2 linked regions of the Struthio camelus genome follow. The protein of the gene in region 1 purifies or fractionates together with the protein of each later gene. This does not show direct contact. Links are inferred from orthologs where the notes say so. Each region holds a gene or a part of one and is shown on either strand. Other genes may lie near its edges.

Region 1 (9,452 bases):
TAGGTTAAGGTAATTTAGTCCACCACTGCAGACTGGACAATGAGAGTTGTCACTCTTGCAGCTGGGAGGAGAGGGGGGAGGCCCAATGCCTGAATTTCAGGGGTGGAAGAAGGCAGCACTTGTTCCATGGCCTGCACTCCCCTCTTCCTGTGGAAATCCCCTTCGGAAAATCTGTTGTTTGTCCAAGTTCAAACTGGAGCGGGGCTCTGTGATAAATGAGAGAGAAGCCAGGCATGGGACCGCTCTGCAAACCTCCGAACACCCCACGCAAGTCACGGTAAGAAGGCACTGGGCTTCCCCCGCTGTGCGGTAGCACCCGGGTGGCTCTGTGGCCCTTTCTTGCGGCAGCATGGGGCCACAGGGCCAGGAACAGGGGGTACCAGGGAGGCAGGAGGTTGCTACTAAATAGTGTCACAGATCTTTCTATAGGCTAAGCAGTCTGACACTTGTGACAGAGGGGGAATCCCAGCCCCCTCCCTGCCCGTGACAAAGGGCACAGGAAATTACACCTACATGTATTTCTAAAATTAGCTGCAGGGGAACGGCGGAGAGCCCAAAGCTATACAGACACCTTATTCCTACTGAAGTGAACCACCTAAAACCCCAAGAGCATCTAAGCCTACAGGTCTACTAGGTGTTAACTGTTTCTTAAAACTAACCACGTGGATCCCACATAGCTCAGGACGAGGTGGACAATGAATCATTTCACAGACCAGACACAGTAATTTGACTTTTTTTTAATAAATACATCTCACATGTACCAAAATAATTATAAACAAAATATACAGTATTTACAAGCTATACAATTGCTAAAAAGTATAGCAATTATGACACACATTGTGTGAAACACATCGTTTCCAATGCCCACAGTTAACACGACTGCTACCTCTCTCATAACAGCCAAGAGGTCATTCCTTTGGTTGATCCTCTGTCTGCTATACCCCACAGAGCAGCTGAGGTCAGTCAATAAGGTGAAGTATCACCAGCCCAACAGAACTCTAAGAAACAATTTCCAAGAAGATGGGACGCTTATATGAGCCCATCTTGTCATGGGTGGACAAGTATTCCTCGTAGTATTAAACATCTACAGACAGCTCTTGAATGCATTTCTCTAAATAGTATGCTGGATCTCTAGCCTTGTTTTCTTCATACTGTTAATAATTTTGGATATGGGGTTCCTTATCAAGTCGTGTTAATAATCACAGATTTCTAGTGATGTTACATATCACACTCCTGTCATGTAAACACAGGACAGAACGTGGAACCTTGCTGTTACAATTAAGTGCTTCTTGCTGGGCAGTGTAGTATTTCTGTACTTTTTTTCCACAGTTTTTTTTTTTTTTTAAATGAAGAATGCCAGTCCTTTTCCTATACATATGTACACAGTCACTTCCTTTCACAGAAACCTCTGCTTTAAAATGCCAACTGTCGTCCTCCAATAAGGCAGTCGTCATACATAAGCTATAAGGAGAAAAAAAAAAAAAAATCCCAAAATGCTGTTAATGCAAAACTCTTACTGCGAGTATCATATCTACTCAGCTAAATTCTGCTTGCCCTCACTTCAGTAGCGTGTGAAATTTCTACACAGCAATGGTTACATTTGCTATCATTTGCAATTTACAGCATGGAGAATGTTAGAAAAATAAATTGTGGGGAGGAGAAATTAACTGAAACTTTATGTCACAAGGTTCTGTCAGTATCAGCAACAGGACAATGTTCAGAGAATCATGCTCTGCGAAATTAATCTCCATTCCCTAAGGTTTTTTAATGTTTTATTCTTACGTTCATTCTATTCATACGTTGGCCCAAATGCCCTACTTCCAACGCTTGACATTGTAACCTTACTTTATGGGGATATTTATACTTGTATGTTATATAGGTAAGAGGTCACCCATATGTAATGAGGGCACCAACAAAAAATACAACTTAAACGTATGAAAGGGCAGAATTTGGCCCTTCCTATGAAAAGGTGCAAATAGCTACTTACTTCATCTTCTGTGAATTCAGATTCCGATTCACTGCTCTCCTCGTCCTCGCTTTCTGGCAACAGTCGCAGGTCAGCTGTGGTCAACTCCTTCAGCTGTTCCTGTATGCTGGAGTTCTCTCTTCCCCACGTGAGCTGATACGGGGAATAGCCCTGGTAGGTCACTTTATTCACATCTGCCCCATGTTTCACCAGAAGTGACACCAGGTCTGAATTCTGCAGGTCTACAGCCAAGTGTAGTGCAGTTCTGCCATTGCATGGCTCCTGTATGAAAATAACCCAAGATGTTTCGTGTTAGGAGAGCCAGGCTTGCCCATGTCAGAACTGCTGATTCGTATGACCACACAACCCTGTTCAGCTAAATTCATAGATAAATTACATACCTGAGCATTTACATCTGCTCCTAAGGACAGCAAATATTCAACAACAGCCAGATACCCTTGAATAGATGCCAAATGGAGACATGTGTGTCCTGTAAAATGCAAAGTAAGACAAAATTTGAGTAATTCTTATCTAATGTGTTATCTTTCACTTAAAGTCAGGAGGACAGAATAATTGCAATTTATCCAGGGCAAAAAGGTGTTTTCCAAGAAAGTCTTCCAACTTCCAATACGTATGGGCAACAGGGAAAGATTTTTGGAAAGATTTCTGGAAAGACTTCTTAGAGGCCTTATCTTTATTTCAGTGTTTGACTCCAAATTATTGTAACAAAAAATAGAAACACTCAAAATAAAATATTCAGAGTTAATTAAATTTTGCAAAAGTAGTCATTAATAACACAGAGCTTAAAGTTATGGCAGCCAATGATCATCAGTAAGGAGGCCTATAAGCGAACCAAGGAAATCGGACCCTGCTATGTACTTTGGCTTCCTCAACCTTTTCCACCCTTCCAGAGGTCTTTGAGATCTACAGGACAAGAACCCTGTCCTCAATACAGCATACTGGCATTTTGGTGCAGCAGGCTGTGCGTACCATTGTAGTTGGTTGCCTGTAGGACAGGGAGGAGGTGGTGCTGCTGGCAGTACTGCGTGAGGACGCTGACGCTTCTGAGGGAGCCCTGCTCACAGGCAATATGGAGCGGTGTGTTTCCTCGGAAGTCTCTAATTTCTGGGTCACATCCGGCCTTCAGAAGATTCTCAGCAATTTCAGGTTGATCAGTGATAACAGCCAGGTGAAGCGGAGTCTGCAGACAAAAGGGAAACCGCAGGGTGGTAAGTGACACTACAAACATGGCACACAGCAGCAGCAGCAGCGTCTGCACAAGCAGACCCTCCATCAGTTGGTGATTTCTGCCCAATTAAAACCAAACCCCCTAAACACAGGGTATTGCTATGCTTCCTGATATATCGCACAGTTGCTTTCTTGTCTGGAAGCGATGAACTCTGAGCTCTCCAGATATCAAACAGTCATATGAAGGGTATCACCAACGTGACAATGAAGAGGGCTGTGACCCACTGCATCACATTTAAAAAACGCAGGCATTAAATGCCAGTGCTGGTGAGAGGAAGCGTCACACTAACACTGACTGGAGTCGGCTGGGTGCCTTTCTGAGCGCAGGCTTTGATTTCATATCCATGAAAAAAAATAAAGAGCCTTTTCAGCGGGGCGGTGGTGGCAGGCGCAGACCAGTACCTGGCTGAGGTTGTTCTGGAAGTTGAGGAAGGCCGGGTCGCCGGCCGTCTGCCGGATCACCTCCAGGCTCAGGGCTTTCTCTACGTGAATAATCGCCAAGTGGAGGAAGCTGCAGGAAGGAAACCACCCCAAAAAGAGAAGAATGAGAACCCCCCCGCGCAGGAGCAGCGGTGACGAGCGGGCCGCGCCGCCCGCCCGCCCGTCATGTGCCGCGTGGCGAAACCGGGGGCTTTTGGGCGGCCGGGGCTTTCCGCGGCGCCGCCGGGAGCCGCCTTGTTCCTGGCGCCTCTCCAGGGACTTTCCGCGGCCCCGGCCCTGCCCCGGCGCGGCGCCTCCCGGCCCGCCCGGCGCCTCCCGGCCGGGCCCCCCCCTCCCGCCGCCGCCGCCGCCCCCCAGCGACTTACGTGTCTCCGTCCTCGGTGAGCTGCTGGGCCCAGGCGTGCGGCGGCGGGTCGCCCTGCGGCCAGGCCGGGGCCTCGCGGGGCTGGAGCCGGATGTCCTGCAGCTCCTTCACCAGCTGGCAGTACTCCTCGTCCTTCATGGAGTCCAGCCCGCTGTCGTGGCGGTCGTCCTGCAGCGGCCCCGCCGGGCGCTCCTTCCGCAGCGCCTCGCGGCCCTCCATGGCCGCCAGCTCGGCGGGGCGGGGGGCGCTGATCATGGCGGCGGCGGGGCGGCGGGAGGAGGGCGGGCGGGCGGGCGGGGGGCGCCTCCGCGCCGCGGCTCCGAGGGCGGCGGTTGGTGCCGGCGCTGCAGCGGCGGCGGCTGCTGCTGCTGCTGCTGCTATTACTACTACTACTACTGCTATTGCTGCTGGCGGCGGCGGCTGCTGCTGCTGCTATTACTACTACTATTGCTGCTGCTGCTGCTGCTGCTGGCGGCAGCGCGACGGGCGGGCGGGCCTCTACGAGTGAGCGGCGGCGGCGGCGGCGCGCCGCATATACACCGGGCGGAGGGGATTTCTGCGGGGGAGGAGCCGCCGCGGCCGGGAATTTCCAGCCACTCAAAGGGCCGACGGACGAGTCTGGTCCTGCTGGGCGCCGCGGGCGGGTGGGCCGGGCCGGGCCGGCGAGGGGAGGGGAGGGGAGGGGGCCGGGCTGAGGCGGCGCGGAGGAATTCCCTGCGCCCGCCCGGCCTCTACTGCAGCGGGAACTTGGCGTTTTTCCACGGCCGGGGAAGTACTGGGCCGCCTGGGTGACTAACCCCGCTCCTGCGGTGCTTCCCTGCTGCGCCTCGGGTGACTGCCCCGGCCAGAGCTGCCCTGGGGCTTTCCCTGCCCTCCCCGCCGGGCCCTGGGGCGGCACCGGCGCGGCCTGGGGTCCGGGAGAGGGCAGCGCGGTGCTGGCCGCCCGTCCTAAAACGTGACGGTGTCGTGATGGCGCTAACTTCTTGGCGCAGCAGTTGTTGGGGAGGTTGAGATAGTGCTGCGCGCCACCGCGTCTTAGAGCCCGGCCGTGCCGGCGGGCGGGCTGGTGTCGCGTAGCTTGTGCTGCCTCGCATGCGGCGTGTAAAGGCTTCCGCACCTTGCAGCTGGTGGTAAGTATCCGCTTAGCTTCCGCGCAACAGGATCAGGAATAACAGAGCTGTGCTCCGTGCCTGTACATCCAGTTCTCGTCAAACAGGCTTCTTTCAAAAGACACGTACCAGTAAATGAACGCACCTTTTAAAGGAAGAAATAGCATCTCCTGGCATTATTCCCCCTGCACCCATTTCTAACTACTCTTCTTTGATCGTCTCTACTGATGTCACACCAGCCACGGGTAATGAAAACGCTGGGTAAACGCAGGCTCCCACATGGATAAAAGACCTTGTCTGCTGGACTGGCAGTGGTGATTTTTTCCCTGGTGAATTTTGCTGCTGCTTCTCAGATGTGGGGGATTCCCATTAAGAATTTTTCATCCCTTGCAACTATTGCCGGCCTCACTGACTAATATTGTCTGAGATTTTTTCTTTTGCAGTTTTCCCATGGGATGGTATCCCTTTGAAAAAAAATTGGTGAGAAAATCCAAAGATGAAAGGGGGCGCCAGAGGAGAACGGCTGGCTTGCTGTGAGCAGATGTTCCCAAGCTGCAGCCCAGCTGTACCCTTCCTGGACTTTTGTTCATTATTCACCATTAGGCCTGGGATAATCCACTGGTGGTTTTGGGGCAGGTTTAGAAAAGCTATACAGCTCTTTCTTTTATAGGTTAAGGGTTATGAAAGTGTCATGACTTTCTGGAAAAAGTTTCCCCTTCTTAATGTAAATCGGCAAGGGAAATTTACTTAACAAATGACTCTCCGACCTGCTTCTGTGCAAAAAGTGAAGACTGGGGTTTGAAAGCAAGTGCCTTCTATCTACTATCTAACGATCGGGGACTAAAGTGCAGCGAGAATGAAGCTGCCTTCAGTCAGAGTTTTGCTGGAGCCACATAGAAATTAAATTTGAAAACTCCCCCTCCTCACTGAGGTGGCTGGAGCCCGAGTTCAGCCGAACAAGCCCCTCGGCGCCTCCTTCCATTGCTGACCTCCAGCTGCTGTCACAGGCGGACTCGGGGCTATTTTTGGAGAGCGTTTGCCAGCAGAAACCTCTTTTTGGGGGCACGCGTGTTTCGATGCTCTTATCTCTGTGTACCTCTGCACGCAGTGCTACGTCAGCCAGCTGGAGGGGACAGAAAGGAGATGGAAAATGACTTCTCTGTGGAAAGTCGTGCCAAGATTAGCCTGCCTCCTGCCCCCAAAAACAGCACTGGCTGCAGCCAGGCGCAGGTCCCGCTCTGCTGCCCGGCCCCGCTGCGGCTGCTGGGCCGTCCCCGGTGCAGCAGCCGTGCAGACTGGTTTTCTTCATACTGAGAAAAATGACATCCTCGGTGGTACAAGTAGCTTTCAGTGCACCCAGACGTGGGCCAGCACCCCAGGGTGTTAGGCAGCCTTCAAGCGCGGGTCAAAAAACAACTCCAGCCCATGTGGACAGTAACAGACAACCTGTGGGTGCAAGGGCAGAGGGAATGCATGTTAAAAAAAAAAAAAGTTATCTTTTCTGTGACTTCTCACAGCTAACAATGTTGTTTTACACTATTTGCGGAACGGGATGGAATGAGCTGGTGGAAGGCAATACAAAAGAAAGGTTTTGAAACTGTGAAGAGGGCCACGGACACTGCTTTTATGCTGCTGAAATACCTGTCCTTTTTTTTGCAAATTAACACATTCTGAATTATTCTATGCAATTTTCTACACAGTCAGCATGAGTGAATAAAAATACAAATAAAAATACAAGGAAGGAACAAACTCAGCTTTTGGATACACATTTTTTCCCCTTTTGGTCATGTACCGTCTGTCTCAAATCTGCTTTCATATGCAGCCTGTTGCCTGGTGTTACTTGGGGGGGCTGCCAGGGGATGGGGCCAGGCGTTCGTCCCGGGGACAGAGGGCAGCGCATGAAACCCCAGGATCAAATTTAGCCCTCCTGAAACGGAGCAAAACTTTATGAACACTGCGGTCGTTTTTGTCAAACTGGAGGCCTGATGGTCCTCTTGTTTATTCTGGCCTGATACTCCGCTGTGAATGTATAAATTTTGCAGCAGCGCTTCTTATGCTCATCAGCTTGAGAGGAGACTGAGGTTCTCTGCATTTTTTATGTGAGACTGTGTTAGTGGTCTCCACACCGGCATGACCAAAGGAGCGGTTTCATCTTGTTCAGAAAAGGACGTCTGCAGGGGTGTCTTGGACGTCTTGCAGGGTCCAAACTGGTGTGGTTCTTTGTTACACGGGCACCGTAGTACGGAGGGCATTGCAAGACCAAGTGGCTGCCTAAACAGCTCTTTGACAAGGTAAAAGGCTGCAACCACGCAAAGTGATTTTGCGCCTGATACCTAAAGCCTGGATTTTGCAAAAGTCTCCTCCGCTCTGGGTGTCTTGACCGCTCCATTTGCAGTGCTGTTGGGCTGCAGGAACGACGTGTTTGTTTTTATTCTGACTTGCAGCACGCAGCTGGCAGGGTTTTGAAAAGCAGCCTTGCGTGCCTGAATACTGAAAAGGGGCAGTAGGATTTTAATCAGTTTTTAAAGTACAGGAAAGATTCTCGTGCTGCTTTCTCAAGCAAACACATTAAGCTGTAATTTCCTGATTGCCACACTAATCATGAGAGCTGTCTAGTGCTGTTGCTGTGGTGCTGTTGATTACCAGCGTTGGTTCCTCAACTTCGTCCTTCTCTGATGGCTGCTGCAGATACCTATTAACTATTTCCTCCCATTTAATCTCGAGGACGATGCAAGTTTAGCAGTAAACATAACAGGAAAAGTAGTTCACAACATTCAGCAGGACCTTGGCCCAGGCTGCTGAAACCATAAGCAAAGCAAAAGAGTTGTGTAAAAGTGCATTTCTTCTGCTCTCAGTCTGGCAATCTGGATGCATACATGTGGTGTAGCTACCTCTTACCTGACCCGTATGCTCTTTGGAACAGGGCTCCGTTTCACTGCTCCAAAAAATTAAGGACCTTGCTAGGGCAACGGAAGCCAGAGAACACCTCACATTGTCATTCAGATAACATTTTGCAACTAAAATTGGCACATTTCAGCCTCCCATCTAGAGCTGCTACAGAGATGAGAACTGGGCAGCTGTCAGATTCAAACAATTTGCTGGACTCTAGTGTTAAACAGCGAGAACAGGAAAATATCCTCCTGCTTTCTAATAATAATTTGGCTGTTACTAACTTGAAGCAATAAAAAAAAATGGCCAAATGAGGTCATGGAAATCTTAACCAAAGTTCATTTTTGTCAGCCTAGATGGGAGCTTCTGGGTTTTACACACGCTGTGGCCTCTGCACCTATCTCGTCACGCATTTTGATCAGAGGTGGCCATGTGACAGGTGCTTCAAATAGTATGTTAGTCACAGTATTTCTCTGGCTTATTCAGGCTGACATAATATCCAAGCAAACAGTGCTGGAGGGACCTTTTGGCATATAAAGCTAAGGTCCAGATTACGGGATTTAAAATCCTATGTATATTCCACAGATACAGAAACGGAGTTAACGCGGGTGTCCTGGCCAGAGCCTGGTGAGGTTTGTTGCATTACTTCTACCCAGATTTGCAGCTACTACTATGGTCTCCTTTGTTTTTATTTTTAGACTGAAGCTTATTTCTGGCATCTCTTAAATTCATGTGTTGTGTCCCAGGGAAGATCTGCATTTCTCTGAGTGAACTGTGGGCTGTTTATATATAAATTTGTTGCATTTCTGGAGATCCTTAGGGATGAGATGTATCATATAAATTTAAACTGCTTTTATTGTTATGCCTTAAGAGTAAACATAGCTCAGTTCATTTGAAAATGGCTGCTGCTTGGAAGACAAGTTTTCTCTAGTGTCATTCCTATTTCTCACATGGAAGTTTTGTTAAAGCATGCAATATGCAATGCTTATTCCTTAAGCTGATGCTTGTTTCTTGATGCAGCAAAGCTTGCTAGCGTTCGTGTTTCACATAGGAAAGAAGAGGCTAGGGGTGGGGGAAGAGAAGAGAAGCAGAGCTTGTACAACTTTCCCTTTAGCATTATGAGTAGTGTTGTTACCTGTCAGTACAGCCCCTTCTTCGGTTGCAAGCAGAGTGGAAGCACCTGACAAGGAAAAAATGATCTGGGAGCACACTAGCGATTGAAATTAAGCAGGGACTTTCCCCCCCACTGGCAGCTGGGCCATTTAGTAATGCTACATTCTCTAGTTTTTCCAGCAAGTAAGAATCTTGCAAAGGTGGAGAGAGAAACCTTGGGGGTTTCTCCATGGAAAACGGACCCCGTGGGAACGCAGGACGAGAAACACTGCCGGGCGCAGGGGAGGAGTATGGGCCAGCAAACGTAGACACGTCGAGAAAG
Region 2 (9,633 bases), on another chromosome or scaffold:
GCCACCCGCTGAAGCCAGGGAGGTACCAGGGGCCTGGCTGAGCCCCCCGCCAGTGACCCAAAGCCTCTCTTCCTCCACATACTCTTGTCAAAGATGGGCTCCGAGAGCACAGGGCTGAGGTGCTGCATCTGCCCAGCGCTGTCCTGGTAGGAGGCCTGGAAGCAGATCCTCACCACGTTCATGTCTACCTCCTGGTGGTTCTTGAGGGACCCAGCTGGGGCAGAGAAGAAGGCAAAAATCAGCTGCTGCCCAGGAGCGGGGGTCCCAGGCCCCCAAGAAATGCTTCTGCTCAAGCCACTCACCTTTGAAGGGGTCGATGCCCAGCTGCAGCTTCTTCTCTATCGCCATCTCGATCTCCTTTTTTTTCACACACTGGATACCAAGGTTGCTAAAGCTGCCGGGGGAGCAGAGGCGTGCTGGAGAGGCAGCTCCCCCCTGCAGAACCTGAGGGCACCCAGGCACCTTGCTCCTCTCAGCTTTGTCTCAGGGGGCTGGGCAGTTCCCCAGCGTGTCCGTTCCCAGAAGACAAGGCCCTGCACGGACCACCGTGGCTCCATCATCTCCAAAACAGGCATCGCTTGCACCCAGGGACGGCAGTTAAACGACCACCGAGGAACACATCGGTGCCTGGGCGCCCCCAAAGCCACGGGCAGACAACAGGGCACAGCTCGACCTCCAGTACGCTCCAACCTCCAGGCATCCCACCCCCCTGCTCCACCTCCGAGACCCCACGTCCCTCCTAGGGAATGCAGACAACTAGTCGTCACCAGCTTCAGCACAGCACCTCTGCGAATTGACGCCAGGGTCCTGGGGTGGGTGGGGGATATCTCTGCTCCCCGCACCAGCCTGGCACAGCTCCCTGCAGGCCACAGGACTCATCCCAGTGTCACAGCGCAGCCGTACCTGTGCTTGGGGTTGGTCTGGGGTTTGAGGACGACCTCGCAGAGCCCGTTGCTGCAGTCCTTGCCCACGAGGCCATGGGGGTGGACGCGGTAGGGCCAGTCCTTCCACACCAGGCATGCCGTCACCTTCACCTCAGGGATCGCGTGGCAGTTCAGCAGCTGGTGGGACACGAGCTGTGGGCGCTGCACCGGCTAAACCGACGCGGGGGGGGGGGGGGCACCAGGAATACGGGCATCCCAGCATCCGTGGGGCTCCGGCACCTTCTGCGATCTCAGCACCACCCCCAGCACCCATGGGGCTCCAGCTCCGTGATAATCACAAGGCTTCAGCACCCCTGCGGGGGGCTCTAGCACCCTCCCCAGCACCCAACTACCCCAGGGAGACATGAGCTGTCAGCACATCCCTGCTACTCTGACACAGGAGACCCTCTGAGCAGGGACGGGCACCCAGAGACATGGAGGGGCACTAAGCACCTAAGGGACTCCAGCAGCCCTCTGGCACCCATGGGGCTCTGAGTCCCTGGCAGCCATGGGGCAATAGCATCAGTGGAGCTTCAGCACCTCCCCAGCACCCACCTGGCTCTGGCACTGATGGGGATTCCACACCCCATGGCACCCACAGGGCTTCAACGCTCCCCCAGCACCCATGAGGCTCCAGACATCCCAGGACTCTGGCCCCCAGCACCCGTAGGACCTCACGGTCCCCACCTCCGAGCAAGCAGGGAGCCACGCGCCCCAGGCTGCCTCCGAAGCTCACCTCAATAGCCGGCAGGGTCTTACTGGCATCAGTGCTGCTCTCGCCCAGGATGCTGCCGGCCGAGCGGCCCTCGCACTCGTAGCGGAAACGCATGCCCCGCTGCTTGGGCTGCTCCGTGATCACCAGCTTGGGCGGCTCCAGCAGCTCCTCCAGCTGGTCCTTGCCCAGAGACCAGCGGTGCCGCCCGCCGGGGCCCGCCGTGCCCCGCGGCACCAGCTTGGGCGACAGCGAGAGGGTGCTGAGGTTCTGGGCGAGCTGCGGCGAACGCGTGTCGGCGGGCAGCAGCGGGGCCCCAGGGCCGTGCGGGGTCCCATAGGGTGCCAGCCCGGCCGTCGCCGGGCAGGGCTCAACGGGGCGCAGCGGCCGGGTGGCCACCGTCGGGCTGGAGCCACGGGCCACCAGCTTGGCCGAGCTTTTGGACAACAGCTTGGGCAAGGCGGGGGCCGGATCTGGCTGGAAACCGTCCTCCTTGATGAGCTCCTCAATGATCTCTGAGGGACGAGGAGGGAATAACGTGCCCGAGCCCGCCACAAATCCCTCAATACCCAGCCCCGACAACTCCCATCCGCCACATGATGGACGGACTGGCCAGATCCTGCCCCGTTGCCACCCACAAACATCTCCTCCGCCACGCTTGGGACAGAGCGGCCACAGCTAGGGGACAAGATGCCCCAACCCTCCTGCCCGTCGCATCCCCGTGGGTGTTACTCAGTCTTTTCCCCTCGATCCCCTCGATCCTTGACGCTCCGGGACGGCGGCCGCGGGGGCAGCTCGCTCGACCGGACACAGCTCTGCACCCTGAACTCCTGCTCGTGGTGCCCCGGAAAAGGATGGATCCAGCTGCTTCAGGTGCACGCAGGGACCCCCTTGTCGGAGATCTCCGGTTTTACCACCCGAAGCTCCGAGATGCTGCTCTGGCCGAGGTCCTGCCAACACACGGGGCTGCGCCTACCGACCCCCCTCCACGGTCCACTCACCTAAATCGTCTGCAAAAAGGAAGGGGAAAAAAAGAAAAAGAAAAAATTGAGGCTTCCTCCCGCACCCCCCTGCCCCAACTCGCACCCAAGGAGGCACGGCTCTCCCCCGCCAAGCCCGGACGCCTGGGCCCCGCCACCCCGAGCACCACAGGGAGGGGGAATGGGGGGGGTTCTTACCAGCCACAGGTGCGGCGTGCGCCATGGCCAAGCTGGGATCCTGGAGGGCAGCTCCTGCGGGGACACCGGCGCTGTCACCCCAGGGTGCACCCTCTCAGCCCCACCTAACGGCACAGGGGACCTCGGCCTCCTGCCAGCCAAGGGCAGGGACTTGGGGAGGGGCACCTCTGGGATCAGGACCCCCCCCCCCGACAGGACCAGGGGGGTCTCAAGGGTGACAGCTCCCCCCAGGGTGGGGAATGGGGGTACCCCCAAAAAAACCCCAGTGCAGGCATTGGGGGGGGTCCCCAGAACTGTGCCCCCCAGTAAGGATTTATTCCCCCCAAAACCTCCCATGACAGGGATTTGGGGTGGAAGGGATCCCAATATCGTGTCCCCCCCCCCAGCAAGGAGGGATCTGTTTCCCCCCCCCCAAGAGCAGGGATCAGGGGTTCCCCAGGACTGTGCCCCCCACTAAGTGCTCTGCCCTCCCCCTCAAATCTCCCAGGACATGGACTGGGGGGTCCCCAAGATCATGTCTCCCCTCCCATTATGGATCTGCCTCCCCCAAGCCCAGCAATCAGGAAGTCCCCAGGACTGTGCCCCTCCCCGAGCACTCTGCACCCCCCCAAATCTCCCACAACAGAGACTGGGGGGGGGGGAACGTCACCCCCCTCCAACAGGGATTTGCTCCCCCCAAAATCTCTCCAGACAGGAACTTCGGGGGGGGGGGGGAGGTCCCAGGATCACATCCTCCCCCAGCAAGCACCCGAATCCCCCCCCCCATCACAAGGACCGGGGGGGGGGGTCCCCAGAACCCTGCCCCCCCCGCCAAACCCCTAGTACAGGCACCGGGAGAAGGGGGGGGGCCGAGATCACACCCCACCCCACCGCCAGCAGGGACCTGCCTCCCCCCAAAACGGGGACCGGGGAGGGTCCCCCAGGACCGTACCCCCCCCCTCCTCCAACAAAAGGCAACCGACCCCCCCCCTCCCCCAACCCGGCCAGGCCCCGGGCCCGCCCCCAGCAGCGGGCCCTGCCCCCCGCGGCAGGCAGCGGGGGCCCCGCGCTCACCGAGCGGCAAGGCCATATCCCGCCGGTAGTGGTGGTGGTGCCGCCCCCGCCGCCGCCGCCGCCGCCGCCCCCCCGGCCGCCGCCGCCGTCGCCGCCGCCGCCGCCGCCGCAGGCCGAGGCCGCGCGGCCGCCGGAGCTGGAAATCCCCGCGCGGGCGGCGCCGCCATTGGCTGCCCCCGCTGAGGTCATCGCCGCGGGGCGGGCCGGGAAACCCCGCGCGGGCGGCGCCGCCATTGGCTGCGCCCGCTGAGGTCATCGCCGCGGGGCGGGCCGGGAAACCCCGCGCGGGCGGCGCCTCCACCGGCAGCGGAGCGGGTCGGGCCTGGCCACGGGGGCAGCGGGAGCCCTGCCCGGGCCTGGCAGCATATGGGGGCACCGGCCCAGGCCGCCGGGAGCCATCCCGGTTACCTCCCGGTTACCCCCGGGAGCTCCCCGGTCACCCCCCTGCAGACCCCTGCCCGGGCCCTCGGCAGCCTCCCGGTTACCTCCCGGTTACCCCTTCTAGGGCCCCCGGGAGCCTCCCGGTCACCCCCCTGCAGACCCCTGCCCGGGCCCCCCGGCAGCCTCTCGGTGACCGTCTGCGGGACCCCTACCGGGATCCCCTGGCAGCCTCCCGGCAGCCTCCCGGTTACCCCTTCTAGGGCCCCCGGGAGCCTCCCGGTCACCCCCCTGCAGACCCCTGCCCGGGCCCCCGGCAGCCTCCCGGTGACCGTCTGCGGGACCCCTACCGGGATCCCCCGGCAGCCTCCCGGGAACCTCTTCCAGCACCCTCCGAGTCACCGCCCCGAGAACCGTGCCGACTTCCCTTGGGAGCTTCCCGGTCCGGTCCGCTCACCTCCCCCCCCCCCCGCACGGGACCCCTGAGAAACTCCCGGTAACGTTACCGGCGCCCCGCCCCCAGCTCGTAGCCCCGCCCCCAGCTCGTAGCCCCGCCCCCAGCTCGTAGCCCCGCCCCGGCTCCGCCCGCCGTCACGTGACGCGGCGCCCCGCCAGCTCGCGCCCGCTCGTCCCCTCTCGCGAGAGCCGCGCGAGTAGCGGCGCAGCAAGATGGCGGCGCCGGAGACGGAGGCGGCGGCGGCGGCGGCGGCGGCGGGGCCCGGGCCGGGCCCGGAGCAGGTAGGGGCGGCCCCGGCCGGGTCGGGAGCGGCCCCGGGGGAAGCGGTGGGGCGCGTTTGACGGCCTCGTCCGCCCTCTTTGCTTCCCTTCAGCAGGTGACCAGTAACGGGAGCGCCGGTGGCGGCGGCGGCGAAGCGGCGGCGGCGGCCGAGACGCAGCGGCAGCAGCCGGCGCCCAACGCCTGGCAGGTCATCAAAGGCGTCTTGTTCCGGTGAGCCGCGGGTCCCCGCCCGCAGCCCTGGCACCACCGGCGCCCGGGCCTACCGGGGAGGGGGGGGGCAACAGGACTGGGCCCCCCCCCTCCCCCCGTCGTGCCCCGGGGGTCGGGAGCTGCCCCGCCGTGTCCTTCCCCCCGGGGTCAGCGGGCAACGGGGGTTGTGCCCGCCCCCCCCCCCCGTGGTGTGGCAGGGTGCTGGGGGTCGTGCCCTGTCCCCTCGTGTCCCCCCCCCCCCAGTGGTGTGGCAGGGTGCTGGGGGTCGTGCCCTGTCCCCTCGTGTCCCCCCCCCCCAGTGGTGTGGCAGGGTGCTGGGGGTCGTGCCCTGTCCCCTCGTGTCCCCCCCCCCCAGTGGTGTGGCAGGGTGCTGGGGGTCGTGCCCTGTCCCCTCGTGTCCCCCCCCCCCCAGTGGTGTGGCAGGGTGCTGGGGGTCGTGCCCTGTCCCCTCGTGTCCCCCCCCCCCAGTGGTGTGGCAGGGTGCTGGGGGTCGTGCCCTGTCCCCTCGTGTCCCCCCCCCCCAGTGGTGTGGCAGGGTGCTGGGGGTCGTGCCCTGTCCCCTCGTGTCCCCCCCCCCCAGTGGTGTGGCAGGGTGCTGGGGGTCGTGCCCTGTCCCCTCGTGTCCCCCCCCCCCCCCAGTGGTGTGGCAGGGTGCTGGGGGTCGTGCCCTGTCCCCTCGTGTTCCCCCCCAGTGGTGTGGCAGGGTGCTGGGGGTCGTGCCCTGTCCCCTCGTGACCCCCCCCCCCAGTGGTGTGGCAGGGTGCTGGGGGTCGTGCCCTGTCCCCTCGTGTCCCCCCCCCCCAGTGGTGTGGCAGGGTGCTGGGGGTCGTGCCCTGTCCCCTCGTGTCCCCCCCCCAGTGGTGTGGCAGGGTGCTGGGGGTCGTGCCCTGTCCCCTCGTGTCCCCCCCCCCCAGTGGTGTGGCAGGGTGCTGGGGGTCGTGCCCTGTCCCCTCGTGTCCCCCCCCCCCCAGTGGTGTGGCAGGGTGCTGGGGGTCGTGCCCTGTCCCCTCGTGTCCCCCCCCCCCCCAGTGGTGTGGCAGGGTGCTGGGGGTCGTGCCCTGTCCCCTCGTGTTCCCCCCCAGTGGTGTGGCAGGGTGCTGGGGGTCGTGCCCTGTCCCCTCGTGACCCCCCCCCCCCAGTGGTGTGGCAGGGTGCTGGGGGTCGTGCCCTGTCCCCTCGTGTCCCCCCCCCCCAGTGGTGTGGCAGGGTGCTGGGGGTCGTGCCCTGTCCCACTGTGTCCTTCCCCAGTGTGTGACGGGGCACTGGGGGTTGTGTCCCATCCCGCTGTGTCCCCTGCTCCGCTCTGCCGTTGGGTGCTGGGGTACTTCCTCATCCCGTCACGTCCTGTTGTACGTCTCTCTGGGGATCCCTGAAGGGGAAGGAGTGCATCTCCTCCTCCCTGATACCCCTAGGCTGTGGGGTCCCAGGAGAGGTGCTGCCACCCATCTCCAAAATCCCTCGGACAGCAGGGTTCCTGGTGCAGGGGCACAGCGACCTGGCCCGCTCACATCTGAGTGGACCCTGGGGTCCCTCGTAGATGAGAGGAAGGTACTGAGGATCCCTCAGGTTCCTGGGCTCATGTCAGAGAGGGAGAAAAGCCTGGTAGCTCCCCCCTCCTTTTCCCCGGACGCCAGGGTCCCTGGCAAGCTGCCTCTGATCCAAGCAGCCTTGGCAAGCCCCTGCCAGTGGGGCCTCATGACCGTGAGGGTGGCTCAGGTGTGACGTGTGACCGTCGCTGGCTGGCGAGAGCGCCCCGAGGTGCTGACGCAGGGCCCGTAACCCACGGGGCTACACGCCCGACCGGCGCAGGGCTTTGCCTGAACTCCGGGATCTTGAGCTACTTTGCAGCTTTTATAGCCTCGAGCTGTTCTTCTGTGGCTGAGATAAACGTAGAAGTTCAGAGATTGGTTCATCGCAGGCAGGAGCAGCTGCTTGAACAGGCTGAGTGTGCTTCCTGTTCTCCTCCGAGGAGGCGTCGGTGTCCTCTATGACTTGTCGAGAGGGATCCAAAGTCCAGGTTGTGGCGCAGAGCCCTTCAAATGCTCCTTTGGCTGAGCGGCGGCGCCGCCAAGCAGGCGAAAGGCCCTGCCGTCCATGTCCTAGGGGCGCTGCACTTCCCCGGGGGGTGCCGATGGTCTCGCCTGCTTCAGCTTGGTCTCTGGTGCAAAGCAGATTTCCTCAGGTGGGGAAAGAGGAGCCCGGGGTGTTTCTGGTTGTGGCCAGGTTTGTACAGCTGGAGCAGGCTGTTTTAAAACACCGCGTTGTATGCTCTTGCAGAGATCTTGGGCTGTAGGATGGCTAAGGAAAGTAAAGGAGCTGTGGTTTGGGAGTACTAAACAGGTAGTAGGGGGCAAAATGAAGCCCCAGGAGTAAAACCAGCTGTTAAAAATGCATCTGGATGGTCCCAGGGTGATGCAACAGTTCATGGGACTCATTGCCCTCACAGATTTCTAGCCTGAAGGCCCTAATGAACTTCTGCTTGGGAGAGTTTTCTGGGCTGAACTGAGCTCCCGCATGGGGCTGGAGTGGATGAGCTGCCTCGGACATGTTTGTGACTCAGTTCTCCAACACCTCGGATGCCTTTCTTCAACCCAAACTGCTGGATGGACTTTGGACTGCCTCAGGCAGGGCTTTTTTGACTGACCTCGCCTCCCTGGCAGACTGGCAGCTCCTCTTCAGGGCTCATCCGGAGCCTTGGTGAACCCGTGTGGACCCGTATGGAGAGAAAAGATCACTCAAGGATGGCAGGCTGCTGCTGAGCCACCGTAAAACCCTGCCAACCCTGTCAGCAATGCCCCAGGTAGCGCTGAGCTTTCCCACCTGACGCTGCGATGGCAGAACAGCCCACGCGTCTCGTGTGGGGTTTTGGGGCCCTCCTTTGGCCCTGTGAAGCTGCAACCCAGCCTTCCCTCCGGCTGCAGTTTGGCTTAGAGGCTGATCTCAGCAGCCCAAACCCAGCTGGCCCCATGGGGAGCGGTGGGATCTTGAGGGTGCTCGCAAGACTGTACCTCCATATTTGGCTGCACCGCTCTCTGCATCTCTCCAGTCCCGTGAAAACGAGGAACTCTGTGAGTGTAAGCAGGGACAGCCAGGGTTTGCCTTGTCCCATCTCTTCTCTCAGACTCGGGCACTGCAGGGATGCTTTTCCTAGGATGAAGGCAGATCAGGTGGCTCGGCTGCATCGCTGCCCTCACTGAAGGCTTCTCGGCAGTTCTTGCCATAGTGCCTGCCTCGTGATGCCTGCTGGGAGCCAGCGCTGCGTATTTGGACGCTTACAATCCAAATCTGTGTTCTTATCAGGAGGCAGAGTGGTTCTTCCCAGCCTTGTCCGCGTTGCGGTGAGGAATTCTGGATGCTGGAGCCGACAGACCTGCTGTGGACGTGCTCTTGGGTCTTGGACCTGCTACATCAGGGGCTGATGAAGGGGTTGAGAATCATGAAAGCTGTGACTCCTTTACACTTCCGCTCTTTCACGCGCAAAGTCTCCGTGCGTCCACCCTCGTTCAGTGCACTGCCTTCCCTTGTGCTTCTCTGAAGTGTCCTGAGAAGCTGCGCTTCTCCTGGGAGGGAAGTCGGTCTGTCTTTTTGTTTCTGTCTCACCGAGGGCAGATTTGTTCCTCTCCAAAGTGTCATTTCCCTTGGCGAATCCCTCTGAATGGCTAGAAGAGCTCTCCTGCACAGCAAGCGTGACCCTGTGGCCTGTCTGCTGGCCAGGAAAACCAGAGTCGCGTGGCCAGGAGAGAGCACTAAATCATCTCATCGCGTAGCGATCGCGGCGAACAAAGAGCTTTCGCAGCGGAGGCGCTTGAAGTCGTTCCCTGTGTTGTGGTTGAAGGGCAGAGAAGGGGCTAGGAGGCGCGAGGGAAAAAATCACGCTTGCTGGTAGGTGGAGAGCAGTCCCATCGCCTAACCCGGAGTGGGCTGCTCCGACGGGGAGTGGGTGATGTTTTGCTTTCAGTGTACGAACATCATGCCTCGTGTCTGCTCTGGTTTTTGAAACCCCTGTCTTTTGAAGAAGAAATAGGCTCCCAAACCTTCCCTGTACAACCAGTAATGCTCTAGGTTGTTCTAGAAGATAAACTCTCTATACAGTCATGTTGAGCTGGCTGCAGGCCTTGTTGTGACTGTTTGAGCGGGATACTTTGGCAGTCCCGCGTGGTACGTAGCCGGGAGGGAACAAGACAGTTAACTCTTTGGATCTATTAACCTGGGTGAGTTTGCAGGAGAGCCGGCAGTGTGGACTTGGTGCTGGGCTCTGTGCGTTTCCTCCAGGTCAGCGAGAAGTGTGCAGGGAGACTTGCTTGGTGCATCTTCTCGGCTCTGACAGCTCAGGGCTTTCTGTTTAAACCCTTGCGCTCAGACTTTCTCAAAAGCTCTGACCCAGCGCAACAAGACAGTTTTCACGAGTGAAATCCTGACTGAATTCAGCGCATCTCCAGT

Evidence for each region. Proteins that work in one complex are often made in the same cells at the same time.
Region 2: the proteins of NFKBIA (region 1) and RELB purify together in Homo sapiens (affinity purification with mass spectrometry; 4 studies listed by BioGRID and IntAct, counting the BioPlex papers as one, with this or other methods). This does not show direct contact. The link is inferred for Struthio camelus from reciprocal best matches to the Homo sapiens genes NFKBIA and RELB.

What each region holds. Positions count from the first base shown.
Region 1 is NC_090946.1:55,424,888-55,434,339, forward strand, and holds NFKBIA (NF-kappa-B inhibitor alpha), read right to left. Parts: upstream 4,311-9,452; 5' UTR 4,275-4,310; coding exon 4,021-4,274; intron 3,726-4,020; coding exon 3,617-3,725; intron 3,168-3,616; coding exon 2,957-3,167; intron 2,457-2,956; coding exon 2,368-2,456; intron 2,249-2,367; coding exon 1,988-2,248; intron 1,462-1,987; coding exon 1,414-1,461; 3' UTR 722-1,413; downstream 1-721. UniProt on the Homo sapiens protein: Inhibits the activity of dimeric NF-kappa-B/REL complexes by trapping REL (RELA/p65 and NFKB1/p50) dimers in the cytoplasm by masking their nuclear localization signals.
Region 2 is NC_090957.1:1,342,573-1,352,205, forward strand, and holds the start of RELB (transcription factor RelB), read right to left. Parts: upstream 3,958-9,633; 5' UTR 3,883-3,957; coding exon 3,867-3,882; intron 2,868-3,866; coding exon 2,814-2,867; intron 2,646-2,813; coding exon 2,637-2,645; intron 2,151-2,636; coding exon 1,660-2,150; intron 1,062-1,659; coding exon 904-1,061; intron 395-903; coding exon 303-394; intron 215-302; coding exon 83-214; intron 1-82. Other genes in the region: putative lipid scramblase CLPTM1, read left to right, coding at 4,914-4,982, 5,075-5,193.